Linked DNA regions of Saccharomyces cerevisiae S288C. The gene in region 1 interacts genetically with each later gene. Each region holds a gene or a part of one and is shown in the gene's direction. Other genes may lie near its edges. The genes, in order: NRG1, YCT1, NRG2 and CBF1.

Region 1 (4,149 bases):
AAATGACCGCAAGATCCGGTTGTTCTCAACCTTCTACATTAAGACATACTTCTACGATTTTCGAATGCCGAAGCAACTATCGCTGAAATTTGTCATGTCAAAATTGCTACTGGGGGAGAAGAATATATATGGAAGTAATTATTATTTACGTTGCTGAAATGGCAGGTTAGACGCATGTTTTGCAAAATAAGTGGTTTTGAAAAGAATTGATACTAGGAATCGGTGCAATACCTTCTACCTTTCTTAATAGGTATTCTTGAATAATCTACCTCACTTTCTGTCCCAGATACGAGATGTCGAGCGCCTCGAAAATAGATATCGTTTATTACGTTAGATACGGAAAGGTCTACGTGTCATAATAAATTGCATCTGGATTGCGATTTTGGGTCATGCCTAACTGGGAAAATATTTACATCTCCATGTTCTCATTCTGCCTTTGCTTTCCTTCAAAACATGGTTTTCAATTCAACCTAGGGTCTACCGCGGAACCATATGTACGCCGTAAATGCGAGTGTTCTTGAAAGGTAGTAATGTGTTCCCTCTCAATATGTAAGTCCTTCAAGAGTATGCACTTGCAGTTGCACTGTTTCGGGTAATTATCCGTCATTAAGAAAAAGATGCTTCCACTTTCTCGTGTTTTTACGCACAATCGTGCCATTTAACCGGAAATAGACTCCATTGCATTGATTGCTCTCATAAAAATTATAGCCCGCGTTTGATACTTGTTTAAAATAGGTGTCGACAAAGTTAGTTTCTGTCTTCCATTTAGTTTTTACAATATGACACGTCAAATAAATCTTTTCGATTTAGTTAAAAGAGTTACCTGGCGATAGCCTTCTGGTAAAACACCTATTCATAAAACAATCTTAAAAAACCAAAAAATTACCAAACAACTATGTAGGACATATTTTTACAGTTCATAAAAACGCTTCGAGCTGCCGATATCGGTATCAAACACCAAAATATACATAGTGCTGGTTTAAGCCAGAATATCTTGGTGAAGCTGCGCCTATATGCCTTGTATTTAAAACAAGTCACGAAAAGCTATTGCCAAAGGAACATAAAAACTCGTATCTATGTTATATTATAAAAAAGATATAATATTTATATATTATTATTAATATTATTTTTTAGTTCCGAAAGGAGAAACTTATAATTTTTATATCATTATTTATTATTATTTTTAATTTCAACTCCTTTTATACCTATTACTGCATGTGGAGAAAAGATTAAACCAGGCGAGGCAATTTACACTTATTCATTGAGATAAGATGAAAGAGCCACGCCTCGTTACATTTAGGCTACATCATATAACAACTAGTCCCAGCCTCCCCCCTTCCCCACCTTGGAGTACTTTTCTCCAGAAATAGAAAGCTAAGAATCAAAATCGCACCATTACGTATGAGCTCATTTGCCGTCTTTTCCCCGACAATCCGGCACAAAATCTGGCTACCCGTCGTATGTATGGTAGACGATATTATGTACTCTAGTAATGCTATGTACGAATAGTTTCAGACGGGCACAGGGACCTAGAACGCCAAGCGCAAAAAAAAGCTGATAGGAATTCGACGTCACGAACCCTTGGAGTAAAAGAAAACTAAAATATACGAACTTCGCGGAAAATAAAAAACTTTTCCTTCAGTTGTTCCTCGTTCGAAACAGTAATCTACACGGACCGTTGCTTATTTTTAGCCAGATTCTAGTTAAATAAAAAAAAAAGAAATAAAATTAAAAAAAAATTAAACTGTGGCAGATAAGCCTTTCTAATCGAGGCAGTGTGTTTCTTTTGACTTCACCGTTTGTCTTCGCATAGTTCCCCTAAATATTCTAACTAGAAAAATCGCTAGTATTTTTCTACTTATAAGTTGATTTTCCGCATATTTGTCTTTGAAACGTTTGAGACAGGGAAAACTCTGTTTTCTAAAAGAGGAAAAAGCAAAATGAAGTATTGGCTTGGTTGCGGTCAACACCCTCAGGGAAAGCCAAGAAATGCTTTTTACTGTTTAGCAGTGAAAAGGCCGCACCGGAAAAGAAGGGAAAAATTCATTGGGTCTAGATTTTTCTTATCGGTAAAAGACTATGGCCTCTTGAGGACCCTTAAGCGTGAAACGAAACGCGTTGAGCGCGCAGAGGGGCTTCGCCGCCGGTCAGGGTGTTTGGGGTGTTTTTTCTTTTAATTATTCTCTTGGCAGTGTCATCTTTCTACAGTCTGGCTGCAGGCTCCTTTTCCGTTATTCATATATAAGGAAGAGAACTTTCCAAACCCAAATTAAAAAAAATTTGGTTCCCATCTCTTAACTAAAAGAAATTATATTACTCCACCTCGTTTACAGTTTTTTGATGCTATAAGGGAATTCTGCAGCTTTTGAAAGTAAAAATCATATCGTATACGATTCTGCAAAGTATTATTGTACTGTAATTCCTACCATTACGGCGCCTTTTTCTACCATTCACCTTTCTTGGATTGTTCCTCTCGACCAGCATATTACTACCCTTCGCAAACTTTCAGGCAATGTTTTACCCATATAACTATAGTAACCTCAATGTTTCTACTATGCCCGCACTGCCGGGAATCTCCGCATTTGATGGAATGCAAGATGAAGAAAACGTTGAAATAAGCCCGGAAAGAAAATATCAGACGCTACTACCAGTTCTAACTAATTCTCATGTGGTAGAGAATGAACTAAAACACAAATTAAATAAGACTGCTTTTGATTTCCGATACCAAACCAAATCAGAAAATGGCTCTGAAAAGTGGGAGCCAAAATACTTAATAACGCCTAATTTACAAACAAGAAGCGTCTCTTTTGACAATTCATCGGTACAATATAATTCAGATTCATCCGAAAAAAGCTCGCTATCACAACTAACTTGTAATTCATCAATAATACAACAGCCTGAGAACGGAATAGTTTCTAATGATGCATATAATAAGATGGCAAATAGTAGATACTCTCTGAAAACGCGGAAGCAAAGAACAGATCCAAGAAATACGTTATCAGATGAGGAAGACCTTGAACAAAGGCGCAAATACATTTGCAAAATTTGCGCAAGAGGATTCACTACATCGGGTCATTTAGCAAGGCATAATAGAATTCATACGGGCGAAAAAAATCATTGTTGTCCGTATAAGGGATGCACGCAGCGATTCAGTCGACATGATAATTGCTTGCAACACTATAGAACACATTTGAAAAAGGGACAATAATTGACGGTATACCCGTGTTTTTCTCATTAGCAGTACTACTATTCCGCACTTTACATCATTTTTTATAAACTCATGCATACATACATTGTACTTCAAAAGATTTTTTTTTTTTTTTGGCATCATAAATCACTTTCAGATCAGTTTCCTTTCAAACGCGCGGCATTAAGAAAACTTTTAATGTCAAAAAAACGGAAGCAAAAACCCCTCCCTTCCGCTTAAGATCATGTCTGGACATTTTAGTTGTAAGGCTGCGCCTCGGTAGCAAGTAGTGCTGCAACAAGGCTATTATGCCACCTAAACAGACCACTTTTGCTTAATACGAGACTGTGACTACCTCCTGACTTCCTGTCATAACAAAAAAACAGACGTCGCTGCATTAACATTTACAACCCCAAACCTTCTTCATTCATTGCTTTTCTTTTAGAAACTGTGGCTTTTTGACATTTGCAGTTTGCATAGTTACTTTTTGATCACTAACAACGATATATTATCGTTGAACAATTTACTACGCAAAACAGTTCACGTGATGTACGTCAGATAATTCACTGAAGGTACTACCTTTCGAGCATCTCTTACAGCAATGGTAACAGCTCATTGAAGAAGAAAAAAATAAGACAAATTTTTTTAGAGCTGCAAGCGTTTTACTAGGCATCAGAACTGTCTCCGAACAATAGTATAGTTAATTATTATACTTCAACCCTAGAAGAAATACCCGAAGATGTAAGGATGTTTTTGTTCCTATAAGCTTTTTTTTTTCACAAAATTTTCATCCACTCTACGTCTTCCATACGGTCATATAAAAGGTGCCATATCCTCGGCCAAGACAAAAGGCTTCAGCTCCATATCTTTTGAAATCATGTAAACGCATGGGGCTCAAGTACTGAGCAAAGTAGGAGAAAGGATATTGAACATGTTCAGAAGAACGTGGTATCTTTTTCCTT
Region 2 (4,956 bases), on another chromosome or scaffold:
CATTCAAAATTTCTCCAATCACACGCGCAATATCTTTGAATGGTATACCTTGTTCACCAACGCAATGATACACTTGTCCTGTTTTTCCTTTCTCTAAAACAAGTCTGAACAGAGGAGCCGTATCCAAACGATGTACAGCCGCCCAAGCGTTTGTGCCTTGTCCGACATAGCCAGATTTTCCGGCAGCTTTGGCAATATTCATTAATATTGGTACAAAAGCCTTGTCCCCCTTGCCATGAACCGAGAATGGGAGTCTGACAATTCTTGCTGAAACACCTTTGTCTTTGTAACTCAAGGCAACCTGTTCAGTGACAGCACGCAAAATTTTGGAATCTTCATCAATACCATCCTGTTCGTTAGCAACTTTGTTTGGTCGCAAAGAAAGTGTACCATTCGTATATAAGAAAGGCTTGTTAGAACCTTTAAGTGACTCTAGCATAGCTACAGTGGCCTGACGGTCAATTTCGCAGCACTGTTCAAAATTTTTAAAATCATGCACAAATCCTAAATGAATAACGCCATCAGATTCAGTGGCACCTTTTTTCAAAATTTCCAGATCCTTGAGATCACCGCGAAGGATTTTTGCAGCAGGATCAATCGACTTAATCTTTGCAGCAGCCTCGTCTGACCTTGCCAAGCCAACAACTTCATGACCCGAGGATATTAGTTCAGATAATACGGCAGAACCAATGAAGCCAGAAGCACCAGTTATAAATACTTTCATTTTTTGATCTCTTTTTTATTTTCTTTTGTAAAAGTTGAGTTATCACGCCTTAGCGCTTATGAATACAAGAGTGATTGTAAGCATAGTTGATAGAAGCGGGAGCCGTTATTTATACGTTAGTTGAGTACTTGAGGGTCTTCATCGCCTACTTTTTTTCCTTAATATCCTTGTGTTAGTAATCATATCTTCAGGAAAGCCAAGAACTAATGGCAAATTAAATCCGCGGCTTTCCCTTTAAACTTTTTCCAGCACAATCTATTATGTTGAGAAGTTCCGCTAATTTCCGCATTGGAAAAAGAATCTCATCTGCAAAAACGATGGTTTCTTTCTTCCACGGAAGACTTATGTCCGTCCTCTCTATTTTCATATTGTTCTTTCTCTCTCTTTTTGCATAACGTCACAATACCCTAGTGCTACCGTCATTGGCGCAGCATAAGAGTATTGCATTTCATGTCTTCAGATTTTGCCTCGCGAAAGAGAAAACACTAAGAGGTGAAAAACAATAAAATTATGTTCCAGTGTGTCATACGTGAGGTTTTATCACGGGGCCACCGTTCTCATTGGTTACTTGGTTGTAAATGCTTTGCGTTGTGATAAATATATGGCATGAAAAATCATATGACTTCAAAAATGAACAGATTCCAGATGCCAAGCCCGCTTTCCTTCGGCTAACTAGATGCGCGCTCGCCCTTGAAATCCTTAATCAGCACAACTCAATTGTATGGACGTGAGCTCTGACTTTTGCTTCCGACAATTAGGCCTTTCATATCTGTCCTTCTGAGATGTTATGTATCATGCATTTTGTATACACTATGCAACACCCTTCGCAATGGCGAAAGCGGAAAGTCATGGCACCATCAATCGTGCTCTGACCAGTATGTAAAAAATTTCTTAAGCCTCACCATGTTACAGATTGGCCAGAGCATCTGGATATTCACCACACCTGATTGGGAAGACTCATAGTTTTATGAAAGATTTCTTCAGAAAAAATGACATGCTGATTTTGTCTACTTGCGTGTGCTTTCAGTTCTTTACCAGTACGATTTGGTCACGTGACACGCGATCAACTACATTCAATCCATCTGCCCCTTGCTGGTTCCGAGTATCAATTCTAAATTGTGGCTACCACTATAGCAATAGTACGCCAAGCTCGGATGCAAATCACGGATATCTTCTTAGCATCCGAGTTCAACATCCGAGTTCAGCATCCGAGCTTTGCGGCGAAAACTTAACAAGATAACGGATAATCAAAGTTCTCTGTGATGTTACGGAGTCTTTGGTCTGCGCTGCTGACTAAAATAGTGTGACACAACGTACATAGCGCCACCCATATTGGCCGATAAGGACCAGACTTGTGGCGATGACTGTTAACTCTCCGCGAATCTTTTTCGAAGTCGCAGGTGGCATTGCAGAAACAAAAATGTGTGGCTTCTGAAAAAAAAAATAGGCACCCCATTTGATGTAAGACATCTGGCTACCCCTTGTACATTTCAGTCACTGAGCATCGAAGGCACGTCTTTGCAGCATGCAATAGTGTTCGAAGTTCTTCCATTTACGGTGGCTCCCCTCACTGGAACGGTGATGTAATATGTAGATAGCTAAAACATTTCGCAGGTCCCTAGGAACTGGACGTCAAGATGAATAGGTATTGTTAAAAATGCGTACCTGTTGAATTGAAGAGGTCGGAAAAATCAAAGTACTTAAACAGACGATTGATTCGACATTTAGCTATTCAGGTTGCACTTCTTGAAGGTTGAACAAAACATCAAGAGAAAATAAAAAAGAAAATATAACAAAAAAGAAATGTCAAAAGTTGACGTAAAAATTGGAGCAGACTCGATCTCCTCTTCTGATGAAATCCTAGTTCCTTCGAGACTCGCTGATGTTACGCTAGCATTCATGGAGGAGAATGACGCAGCAGTTCCAGAAATCACGCCTGAACAAGAAAAAAAATTAAAGAGAAAGCTTTTTCTCACAATATTCACCTTTGTCTCTGCCATTAACCTTTTACTTTACATGGACAAAGCCACTTTATCCTATGATTCGATTCTAGGCTTCTTTGAAGATACAGGTCTTACCCAAAATACTTACAATACTGTAAATACGCTGTTTTACGTTGGTTTTGCAATCGGCCAATTTCCTGGACAATACTTGGCTCAAAAGTTACCACTTGGGAAATTCTTGGGTGGGTTGTTGGCCACATGGACTATACTTATTTTCCTAAGTTGTACCGCATACAACTTTTCCGGTGTCGTTGCGTTGAGATTTTTCTTGGGGCTAACAGAGAGTGTTGTTATCCCGATATTAATTACCACTATGGGTATGTTCTTCGATGCTTCAGAAAGAGCTGCTGCTCAGCCATTTTTCTTTGCAGCATGTATGGGGTCTCCAATTCCAACTGGGTTTATTGCTTATGGTGTTCTTCATATAACAAATCCCAGCATTTCGTTATGGAAAATATTCACTATCATCATTGGTGGTTTGACTTTTATCATGACGGTTGTTGTAATTCTGTGGTTTCCTAATAATCCTGCTGATGTGAAATTCTTTTCAATACAAGAAAGGGTATGGATTATCAGGAGAGTTCAGGCATCCACAGGCTCTTCCATTGAACAAAAAGTCTTCAAAAAGAGTCAATTCAGAGAGGCAATGAAAGATTATATAACCTGGTTATTTGGATTGTTTTTTCTTCTTCAACAGTTAGCCAACAATCTGCCCTATCAACAGAACCTGCTATTTGAAGGAATGGGTGGAGTTGATGCTCTAGGTTCGACATTGGTATCAGTTGCCGGTGCTGGTTTCGCCGTCGTTTGTGCCTTCATCGCTACGTTGATGTTAGCAAAATGGAAAAATATTTCAGCTTTAACAGCCATCTTTTGGACTTTACCAGCATTGGTGGGATCCATCGCTGCAGCTGCTTTACCATGGGACAATAAGATTGGTATCTTAGCAAATATCTGTATGGCAGGACAAATATTTGGTATTCCTTTTATTATAGCTCTTAGCTGGGCAAGTTCAAGTGCATCTGGGTACACCAAAAAACTCACAAGAAGTTCGGTGTCCTTATTTGCGATGGGAATTGCTAATATCATATCACCACAAATATGGAGAGAGAAGGACTCTCCTCGCTTTTTACCTGCCTGGATTGTTCAAATCGTTTTATCATTCTCTCTTGCACCAGCCATTTTGTTACTGATCCATTTCATACTAAAAAGAAGGAATAATCAAAGACTAAAAAATTATGACGAAAATTTACAAAATTATTTGGACAGAATTCAACTCATTGAAAGCGAAAATCCTTCTTCCATTGAAGAAGGGAAAGTGGTAACCCACGAGAACAATTTGGCAGTCTTTGATTTGACTGATTTAGAAAACGAAACTTTTATATATCCTTTGTAAATATTGATGTTTTGTTGTGTAAATGTTCTATCTGACACTTAATAATTAGAAAATTAATTTTTTAAACTTTCCGGCTGCAAGAAAGAGGAACTGTGTCTCTTTGAAAGGCACAATTTCCCAAAGAATCATTTACAATGGTAAATAGCTTACTGCTTAGAAAATAATAGATAATTGAATAAATTTATAGAGGAATTTCTTGACAATTTCTTCAAAACAGCCGGTAAAAGTCCATTAAAGATTAGTTTTTCTTAAATAAATCACCTAAACTTTCAAATTTAGCATAAAAAACATGTAGATATTTGTTCTCTGTACTTTATAATCTAACATTTTATAAGACAGAGACTAGTAACCCCTCTAGCCTGTGGTTAAAATACGCAAAACCTTTGAACCCTCAATATTTTTGCCATAATAATGACAACTATATTGTACCCATTTGTTCTTGAGTTGTCCGTATGGATGGAAAGCAGCACTCGAGTTTGCTGAAATTACATACCTCGGTATGCAATATGCCCAGAAAATTTGTAAATGATAATTTACATAACAATTCAAAACATATTGATGTTTTTCGTGGGTAACCATAGTTCTTGGAATGTCAACTGAGGGTATTTGCACTTCAAAAAAAAAAATTTATTAAATGAGACTATATACAGTGAGCACAACCTGTCTAATACAACGGCAAAAATTATATACATTGGTAGATTTTCAAAATTGAACTCTTTGTGCTAAAGAATTGTCACAACAGTTTAAAAAATAGTTTGAATTCTTCAAATTGACCCCATATTAATAAGACCTGATGCGATTCCGGTCTCACCCAGATTAGAGAGGGAATTTAA
Region 3 (4,184 bases), on another chromosome or scaffold:
TTGGGTAATCAATATTCCCAAAAAGAGCATCAGACGATCTGGTTATGGTTTTTCTTGACTATAACCTTAATTATGAGACTAATGTCTTCGGGAGGTCCCTTTTCCGATTTTCCGACTCTTTTCCGTTGAAGAATGTACTTGTGGTTTTGAATCCTACGGCAGTTATTGCGGCGGTTTGGCCCTTTCTTTCAAAGATTGTGATGGAAATAATTGATTGTTCCGGGAAATGTGTCTTATTTTCTAAAAGCATCTTTTTTTCTCTCCAATTCTTCGAGCTATTTCCAGTAAAGGAAAAAAAAGGTTTGCTGTAAGGGTGAATATGTCTCCAACCTCTTTGAGGTACTGCGTTGCTTCATTCACCATTTAATATAAATAGTACATTGGCAGCCCTCTTTCAAACGTCAATTATTCTCGCTTGCCTAACTTTGTTCGGACCGAAATTATAAAGGCATTCAATCAGTAACAATAATTGCTATTGCATAACTATACCCTCTGCTAAATAAAATAAAATGTCCGTTTCCAAGATTGCTTTCGTTTTAAGTGCCATTGCCTCTTTGGCCGTCGCTGACACCAGCGCCGCCGAAACTGCTGAATTGCAAGCTATTATCGGTGACATCAACTCTCATCTTTCTGACTACTTGGGTCTAGAAACTGGCAACAGTGGATTCCAAATTCCATCTGATGTCTTGAGTGTGTATCAACAAGTCATGACTTACACCGATGACGCTTACACTACCTTGTTTAGTGAATTGGACTTTGATGCTATCACTAAGACAATTGTTAAATTGCCATGGTACACCACAAGATTGAGTTCTGAAATCGCTGCTGCTCTTGCCTCCGTTTCCCCAGCTTCTTCCGAGGCTGCATCTTCTTCCGAGGCTGCATCTTCTTCCAAGGCTGCATCTTCTTCCGAAGCTACATCCTCTGCCGCTCCATCCTCTTCTGCTGCCCCATCTTCTTCTGCTGCCCCATCATCATCTGCCGAATCATCTTCTAAGGCCGTTTCTTCTTCTGTCGCTCCAACTACCTCTTCTGTCAGCACTTCTACAGTCGAAACTGCTTCCAATGCCGGTCAAAGAGTCAATGCAGGCGCTGCCTCTTTCGGTGCTGTTGTTGCAGGTGCAGCTGCTTTATTGTTATAAAAGGGAACCTTTTACAACAAATATTTGAAAAATTACCTCCATTATTATACCTTCTCTTTATGTAATTGTTAGTTCGAAAATTTTTTCTTCATTAATATAATCAACTTCTAAAACTTTCTAAAAACGTTCTCTTTTTCGAGATTAGTGCTTCTTCCCAATCCGTAAGAAATGTTTCCTTTCTTGACAATTGGCACCAGCTGGCTACTCGTTGCTCGAAAACTACTCTCTTTTATTTTTAATTTACGAACGATTATCTTTCGAAGGAACGACCAAACGAGCTAAATATGGGCATCGCCAACGTTAAAAAAATGGACCCTACCGAAGACGTTATTATGCCAAGGCGCAGCGAAGAGTCTTTCTCCTTGAGAAAAAATATGCATGAAACAAAATAGACAGGACCAGACCCTCTTCGGGAAAAAAAGTCAAGATTTAACACGTGGCTACACCGGCTGGCTTACAACCAACCAACATAAGATCAAACAACCCTCAAGTTTAGAAAATGCCTTAATAGCAACCTCTAAAACCATAGACTTCTCCATTTTCACGTGCTAAAAAAGTTCGGGTATGATGTCATACAAATCCTTTCAACAAAAGATGCTTCAAGATCAATGGCACTCGAGATCATAAATCCCTGCAGAGCAGCGGCTCTGCATATAGAATAACAAACAAATCGTATTTTTCCCGAAGCCAAGAAAAAAAGGAGACTATAACCTTTCAAGCCAGACGGAAAACTATCTGCCCAAGGACAAACTGGCATGGGCTGCTTCAATGTTCGGCTACCTTTTTTCTCTTTTAACGGGGTTTGGTATTTTTTTTCTTTACTTCATAAACGAATGTTAAACGACTGTGAAAAAGCCATCCCTGGATTATGCGAGAGTACTCTCAGGGCACCCGTCCGTTTAAAGACCCCAGGCCAAAATAAAAATTTCTTGAAGGAAAAAAATACACAGGGCCTTGAACTGAATACAAAGCCATCTTTTTTCTCGTTTGTCAGCACGTCCCAGAAAAACGCGCAGCCGTAGCTCTTGATAAGTGGCTTCTGCGTTTTGCAACGCTTTTCTGATCTCATGTTTTCTTATGCTGCGGGACATCATTGTCGTTGAGAAAAGTTTCAATTTCAAACGAACTGCCTACCGTTGCATTCTCCTTGGAGAAGGGCCTGAGTTTAGGGGAATCACGTCTGGCTATTACATGCTACATCGTGCAGTAGCTCCTACATCGCTAACAGGCAAATCCTACACCCTCTTTAAATCGTTTATCTTTTATATATTATCTGGCCTAAATTTTTACATATAAATATTTATCATATTATGACAGCTCAAATGAATTTCCGGCACCAAGTCATATGAGCACTCGCTACTGTTCGAAGAACAAAAAATATAAAGCTTCTACAAAATTTCCAGATGTCCATAGGTTACAAAGACAACTTGATGTCAACTATTCTAGCTAAAGATAGGAAATGTGAATTTCCCATCAATTTCGAATGTTCGCCCTCCCAGATAACTCTTATGCCTGAAATGTTCTCTTTTAACAATGAAAGGAAATACCAAACCCTGATACCCTTGATGAAAACATCACATCTAATTGATGATGACTTGAAAGATAAATTGAATAAGTGCGCTTTCGATTTTTTCTCCGGAAAACAAGCGAACAGAACGAGTGACGGGACTATTTCAAGATTAACAGCAAGTGGAAAAACGTCACCGATACTGCCATTGCAAAATATTAATATTGTAAAAGCAGAGAATACCGGTAACGGTAAATCAGATCCATATAGCTCAATTAAAATAAGCAAACCGACAAAAACCGTGATAAAATTGAAATCTACGAAAACCAATACAGCAGGACAGAGGACTCGTCATTTCTGTAAGATCTGCTCTACTGGGTTCACCACTTCTGGTCATCTTTCAAGACATAACAGAATCCATACAGGTGAAAAAAATCATATCTGTCCGCATGAGGGCTGTGGACAGAGGTTTAGTAGACATGATAACTGTAATCAGCATTATCGAACTCATGCAAACAAGAAGAAAAGAAACTGGAAGAGGAGGGAGGCTAGCAGTTGATGTGAGTGAGCTCAGCCAAAAACATTTAAATATTCAAATAACGTACAAATAAAAGACTGATAAATAGTAATAAAACTAAGCGGGTTAGTAATACTCACCAAGAACAATAGCAGGAACGATAGTCGGTTCTCTTTCGTAATTTTTTTAAGTCACAACCCGGAGGGACGTGAAGTTTCAAACCTTATTCATTCCGGGATTACCCTCTCCTGTGATGACGTTTAGGCAATAAGGACTAAAAAAAAAAAAAAGAAATGCTATGGCAAATTTTATTGATAGAAGTGGTAATGATGATGGAAGGGCTTTTGAGCAGGTGAATAGAAGGTAGCTAACGGAAAAGAGTTATTGCACCCTTAATATAATGAATGATGAAATTAATGAGCCACCGCCCAATATATGTGAGCAGTGCTTAGGTGATGAGGCTAATATACGAATGACTAAAATTCCACAAGGCTCTGAATGTAAGATTTGTACCTTACCGTTCACCTTATACCATTTTAAGACGTCTAAACGAAGCAATAATATCATTAAAACATTAATATGTGTACGGTGCGCCACTCAGAGAAACATTTGTCAATGCTGTATGCTTGATTCAAGATGGCACATCCCTATACAACTGCGGGATCATTTAATATCCCTTGTGAACGAGGAAAACGTTATGACGGAGGAAGCAAAAAACGACATGATGAAAAGGTTTCTGTCACTAAAAAACGTGAAATTAGGAGGAGCTCAGATTACGAGTGATCCGTCAGAAGCAGATAATATCGTTGATAAATTGAAAAATATACTTCTGCGAGCAACATCAGATGGCCCAAGTACTCCGTTAATAAAAAACACAACTGCATTGTATAAAAATGAAAAAGGTGCAAATGAGGTCAAAAACTTGGAAAAGTACGCGTCCGTGGACATTTCTCATATTTTGAAGAAACTACCCTTGAATGAATCGTTTTTAAAAAACCCCTCCACCAAATCATTTTTT
Region 4 (4,407 bases), on another chromosome or scaffold:
GGGTGGGTCTAGTGAAGTTAGAAAGGTTAAATCAAGTTACAGGCAAAAGGATGTTTACGCTCTAAAAAAACTGAATATGATATACCACGAGTCACCCGAGAAGTTTTACAAGAGATGCTCCAAAGAATTCATCATAGCTAAGCATTTAAGTCATAACGTTCACATCACGAATACTTTTTATCTTCTAAAAGTTCCCACGACCACATATACAACTCGTGGTTGGGGGTTTATTATGGAACTAGGTGTTAAGGACCTCTTCCAACTGATGGAAAGAACAGGCTGGAAGAACGTTCCCTTCAATGAAAAATATTGTCTTTTCAAACAAGTGGCCCAAGGTATTAAGTTTTGTCATGACAATGGTATTGCTCACCGTGATTTGAAGCCCGAAAATGTTTTAATTTCTAAAGAAGGTATATGCAAATTGACGGATTTCGGTATTTCTGATTGGTACCATGTGATACCTCATGACTACACTAGTCCAGTGAAAACATGCCAAGGTATGATTGGCTCTCCACCATACACTCCGCCAGAGGTAATGTACTTCGATGCCAAGAAGCACTACCCCGAAAAGTTCCAAAAACCCTATAATCCGTTGGCCATGGATTCCTATGCCCTCGGAATCATGCTGATTACCATGATTAACAATATCATCCCCTTCATCGATTCTTGTAACACTGATGCGAGATTCAGGGAATTTGAAGTGTCATATGACAACTTCATCAATCATCAAAACCCACATTTCAGGGACAAGGGCTGCCACAAGCCGGGTCCTGGTTCCGAATACTCTTTAGCAAGAAATTTCAAGAATACTGATGCCACGCGTATCGCATGGAGATTGGCTGACCCGAACCCTGCAACTAGATATACAATGGATGATTTATTTAATGATCCGTTTTTCCAACAAATTGAAACATGTGTCGAGCCAAATGATGATGACTTAGTAAGGGTTCCTGAATTAAGGAAAAGTACTTCTACCAATGATTTTAGTGAAAATTCATTAGATGCACCCCATGATCAAGAGGTCATTCACACGTCTAATCCATTCCTAAAAAAGGAAACGCTCACTTCTAAACCAAGATCGATGTTGGAAATTGCAGAATCTCCTTCCTTGAAACAAAAATCCAAGGTAAAAGATAGCGCAAAGACCAAAACACACGATGTTGGGGATGAAGGGGGGAATGAAAGCACCAAACCTAAGCAGCAAGATAAAAAGGAAAATTTGAAGAAAGATGAGGTCAAGAACGGCGACAAGGACAAAGTCATTGAAGAGGCTACCACGACTAATGTGGACAGCATATTGGAAAAACCAACACCAACCTCCACAAAAGTAGAGGACAACTTAAGCGAAGATGATTCCACAATGAAGGAATTAAAGTCGATGCTAAACTCCACCCCTACTACACCAACACATAATGGCCCCACTCCGCTCCCTGCAAAGGCTGGCACTCAATTAGATAAGCGTATGAGCGACCTATCACTCAAATCGGAAACACCGGCTTCTACAAAGAACTTTAGCGCACCGAATGTTTCGTCATCAAGCAATTCACTGAGAAGCCTCGGAAGTCCAAGCGTGTCATCCTCGAAAAAGAAGAAGGTAATTCACCACCACTTGGACATTACCAACAGCGTTACAAACATGTCATCCGTGAGCGCCTTTATCTCAAGATAGACGTTAGGACTTCTTTAATTCCCTCTTTTATGCTTTAGTATCGTCATATTCTTTCATACCCTTCCTTATAAGCTTTTTATATAAAATATCCCACCGGGAAAAGATAAAGAACGGAAGATAAATCAAACAATGAAATAAAGCACACACATATAAATCCACATATGTACTTATATATTTTACTTCAAACAATAAACAAACATTTTATTATTTATTTTTCCCGTACATCGATGTACGTGATCGGTTTTTCTCATTCCTCTCGGATCCTTCGGGACCACCATGTCTCACCCACCAAGGTCAAAAAAAAAATAAAATCGGACGAGAAAAGTATTGGGCAAACAACAATTATCCACGTGCTTATCACGTTTTTTTATTTAATGTAGAATGTAAACCATTATACCTTAAAGATAAACACTTTGTTAATTAATCATTTTAGTTGGCGGTCATTTTCATTTCTGCTACAAGTACCAACATCAAGTGCTTAAAATATAATACGGTTTTCTACACTTTTATTAACGATGAACTCTCTGGCAAATAATAATAAGCTTTCTACTGAGGATGAGGAAATCCATTCGGCAAGAAAAAGAGGCTATAACGAGGAGCAGAACTACAGCGAGGCCAGGAAAAAGCAAAGAGATCAAGGCTTGTTGTCACAAGAGAGCAATGACGGAAATATTGACTCTGCTCTGTTGAGCGAAGGGGCTACGCTAAAAGGGACTCAAAGTCAGTATGAAAGCGGACTGACGTCTAACAAAGATGAGAAAGGAAGTGATGACGAAGATGCGTCAGTGGCTGAGGCTGCTGTTGCCGCTACCGTCAATTATACAGACTTAATCCAGGGCCAGGAAGATAGTTCTGATGCCCACACATCTAATCAAACGAACGCGAATGGTGAGCACAAGGATTCCCTTAATGGGGAAAGAGCCATAACCCCATCAAATGAAGGAGTCAAGCCAAACACCTCCCTGGAGGGAATGACGTCTTCACCAATGGAATCTACACAGCAATCTAAAAACGACATGCTCATACCATTGGCAGAACACGATCGTGGGCCAGAACACCAACAGGATGATGAAGACAATGATGACGCTGACATTGATCTCAAAAAGGATATAAGCATGCAGCCGGGTCGTCGTGGAAGAAAACCTACTACTTTGGCCACAACAGACGAGTGGAAAAAGCAAAGAAAAGACTCCCATAAAGAAGTCGAAAGGCGTCGCCGCGAAAACATCAACACTGCAATCAACGTTTTAAGCGACCTCCTGCCCGTGAGAGAATCAAGTAAGGCAGCAATATTGGCGTGTGCCGCTGAATACATTCAAAAATTGAAAGAAACCGATGAAGCAAACATCGAAAAGTGGACGTTACAAAAATTGCTTAGCGAGCAAAACGCATCGCAATTAGCCAGTGCAAATGAGAAACTGCAGGAAGAACTGGGAAATGCTTACAAAGAAATCGAGTACATGAAACGCGTTTTAAGGAAGGAGGGAATAGAATACGAGGATATGCACACTCACAAGAAACAAGAGAACGAAAGAAAAAGCACTAGGAGCGATAATCCACATGAGGCTTGAGAGTTAAAAATAGATAGCTAAATGTATTTCGAGTCTCCCTATGTATCTGCGTCTCTGCCCCATAGCACCTCTGTTAAGTTTTTATCAATATTCCATCGGCATATTTGAAACCGCCCGGATGGTATTAGAGAATCACTCAGCCTCAAACTCAGCAAGTAAAAGAGGACGGGACGGACTTTCAAATATGTCTTTGTACGTTATTGTTTTTCATCCCTAAATGGCTTAGTAAAAAAGTTTTGCCAAGAATTTTTTGACGTTCAATGGAAAAATCGCCAAGAGAAATACGCACAACCTCCGTTTTCCCGCCTTTTATCAAAAAATCTTAGTTTTCCCTTCCTTTTTTTTTTTTTGGGTCGCAGAAAAGAAAAAAGATAGTAGTGGAGAGGATTACCTGAAAAAAACAGGCAAAAACGTCACATCCTTGAAGGTCCGCGACAATCACGGGCCTATTTCTACTTTGGGGCTTTGCTTGATTATTTAAGAAGAAACATTGGACGAAGATCAAGTAAGAGTGCACTTGTCTTTAGTCTGGCATTCCGCTATTTGTATCTTATATAGTTAACAACAACTGTTATTTACTTTCTGGAAAACAACCAACGTTTATTTTTATGAATTAGAATCATTGAGATTGTCTAAACGAGAGGAAGAGAAAGAAAGAGAGAAAGAGAAAAGAAAGCGAAGCAAGATACAATTCCAATGATGTTATCACTGCGCAGGTTCTCCATGTACGTTTTGAGATCTCTGCGGCTTCACTTTAAAAAGATAATCATTACTCTTCTAACTATCCAGTTACTATTCATTACCATATTTGTATTGGGCGGTCGCTCGTCGATTATTGACGGTAACTGGAAGTCATTCATGGCGCTCTTTTTCAAACCGCTTGCTTACACTAACAGAAACAACAACCATGCTTCTTTCGATCTGAGATCAAAAGACAACGTAGCCAAACTTTACGAAAAAATGAATTTTGATACTTCAGGCAAATGGATCGACACGTACACCTTGAAGAATAATCTTCTCACTGTGAAAATGGGTCCTGAAAAAGGGCAAGTTCTTGATTCGGTAGATGAATTGAGATATTACGATAACGACCCAAGGCTGGTATGGTCAGTTTTACTAGATCACTTATTAGAATCAGATTCCAATGAATACGCATTTTCGTGGTAC

What was found.
Region 2: mutations in NRG1 (region 1) and YCT1 together harm fitness more than expected from each alone (negative genetic interaction), as found in Saccharomyces cerevisiae (2 studies listed by BioGRID).
Region 3: of NRG1 (region 1) and NRG2, changing one enhances a phenotype caused by changing the other (phenotypic enhancement), as found in Saccharomyces cerevisiae (3 studies listed by BioGRID).
Region 4: mutations in NRG1 (region 1) and CBF1 together harm fitness more than expected from each alone (negative genetic interaction), as found in Saccharomyces cerevisiae (3 studies listed by BioGRID).

The regions. Positions count from the first base shown.
Region 1 is NC_001136.10:541,733-545,881, reverse strand, and holds NRG1 (transcriptional regulator NRG1), read left to right. Parts: upstream 1-2,512; coding exon 2,513-3,208; downstream 3,209-4,149. UniProt on the Saccharomyces cerevisiae protein: Transcriptional repressor involved in regulation of glucose repression. Binds to UAS-1 in the STA1 promoter.
Region 2 is NC_001144.5:27,582-32,537, forward strand, and holds YCT1 (Yct1p), read left to right. Parts: upstream 1-2,527; coding exon 2,528-4,123; downstream 4,124-4,956. Other genes in the region: YLL056C (uncharacterized protein), read right to left, coding at 1-724. UniProt on the Saccharomyces cerevisiae protein: High affinity cysteine-specific transporter. Major contributor to cysteine transport when cysteine, at low concentrations, is provided as the sole sulfur source.
Region 3 is NC_001134.8:369,061-373,244, reverse strand, and holds NRG2 (Nrg2p), read left to right. Parts: upstream 1-2,545; coding exon 2,546-3,208; downstream 3,209-4,184. Other genes in the region: TIP1 (putative lipase), read left to right, coding at 510-1,142; Pre-mRNA-splicing factor ECM2, read left to right, coding at 3,567-4,184. UniProt on the Saccharomyces cerevisiae protein: Transcriptional repressor.
Region 4 is NC_001142.9:546,575-550,981, forward strand, and holds CBF1 (Cbf1p), read left to right. Parts: upstream 1-2,184; coding exon 2,185-3,240; downstream 3,241-4,407. Other genes in the region: protein kinase PTK2, read left to right, coding at 1-1,669; MNN14 (Mnn14p), read left to right, coding at 3,937-4,407. UniProt on the Saccharomyces cerevisiae protein: Required for chromosome stability and methionine prototrophy. It is involved in chromosomal segregation. Binds to a highly conserved DNA sequence (5'-RTCACRTG-3'), called CDEI, found in centromeres and in several promoters.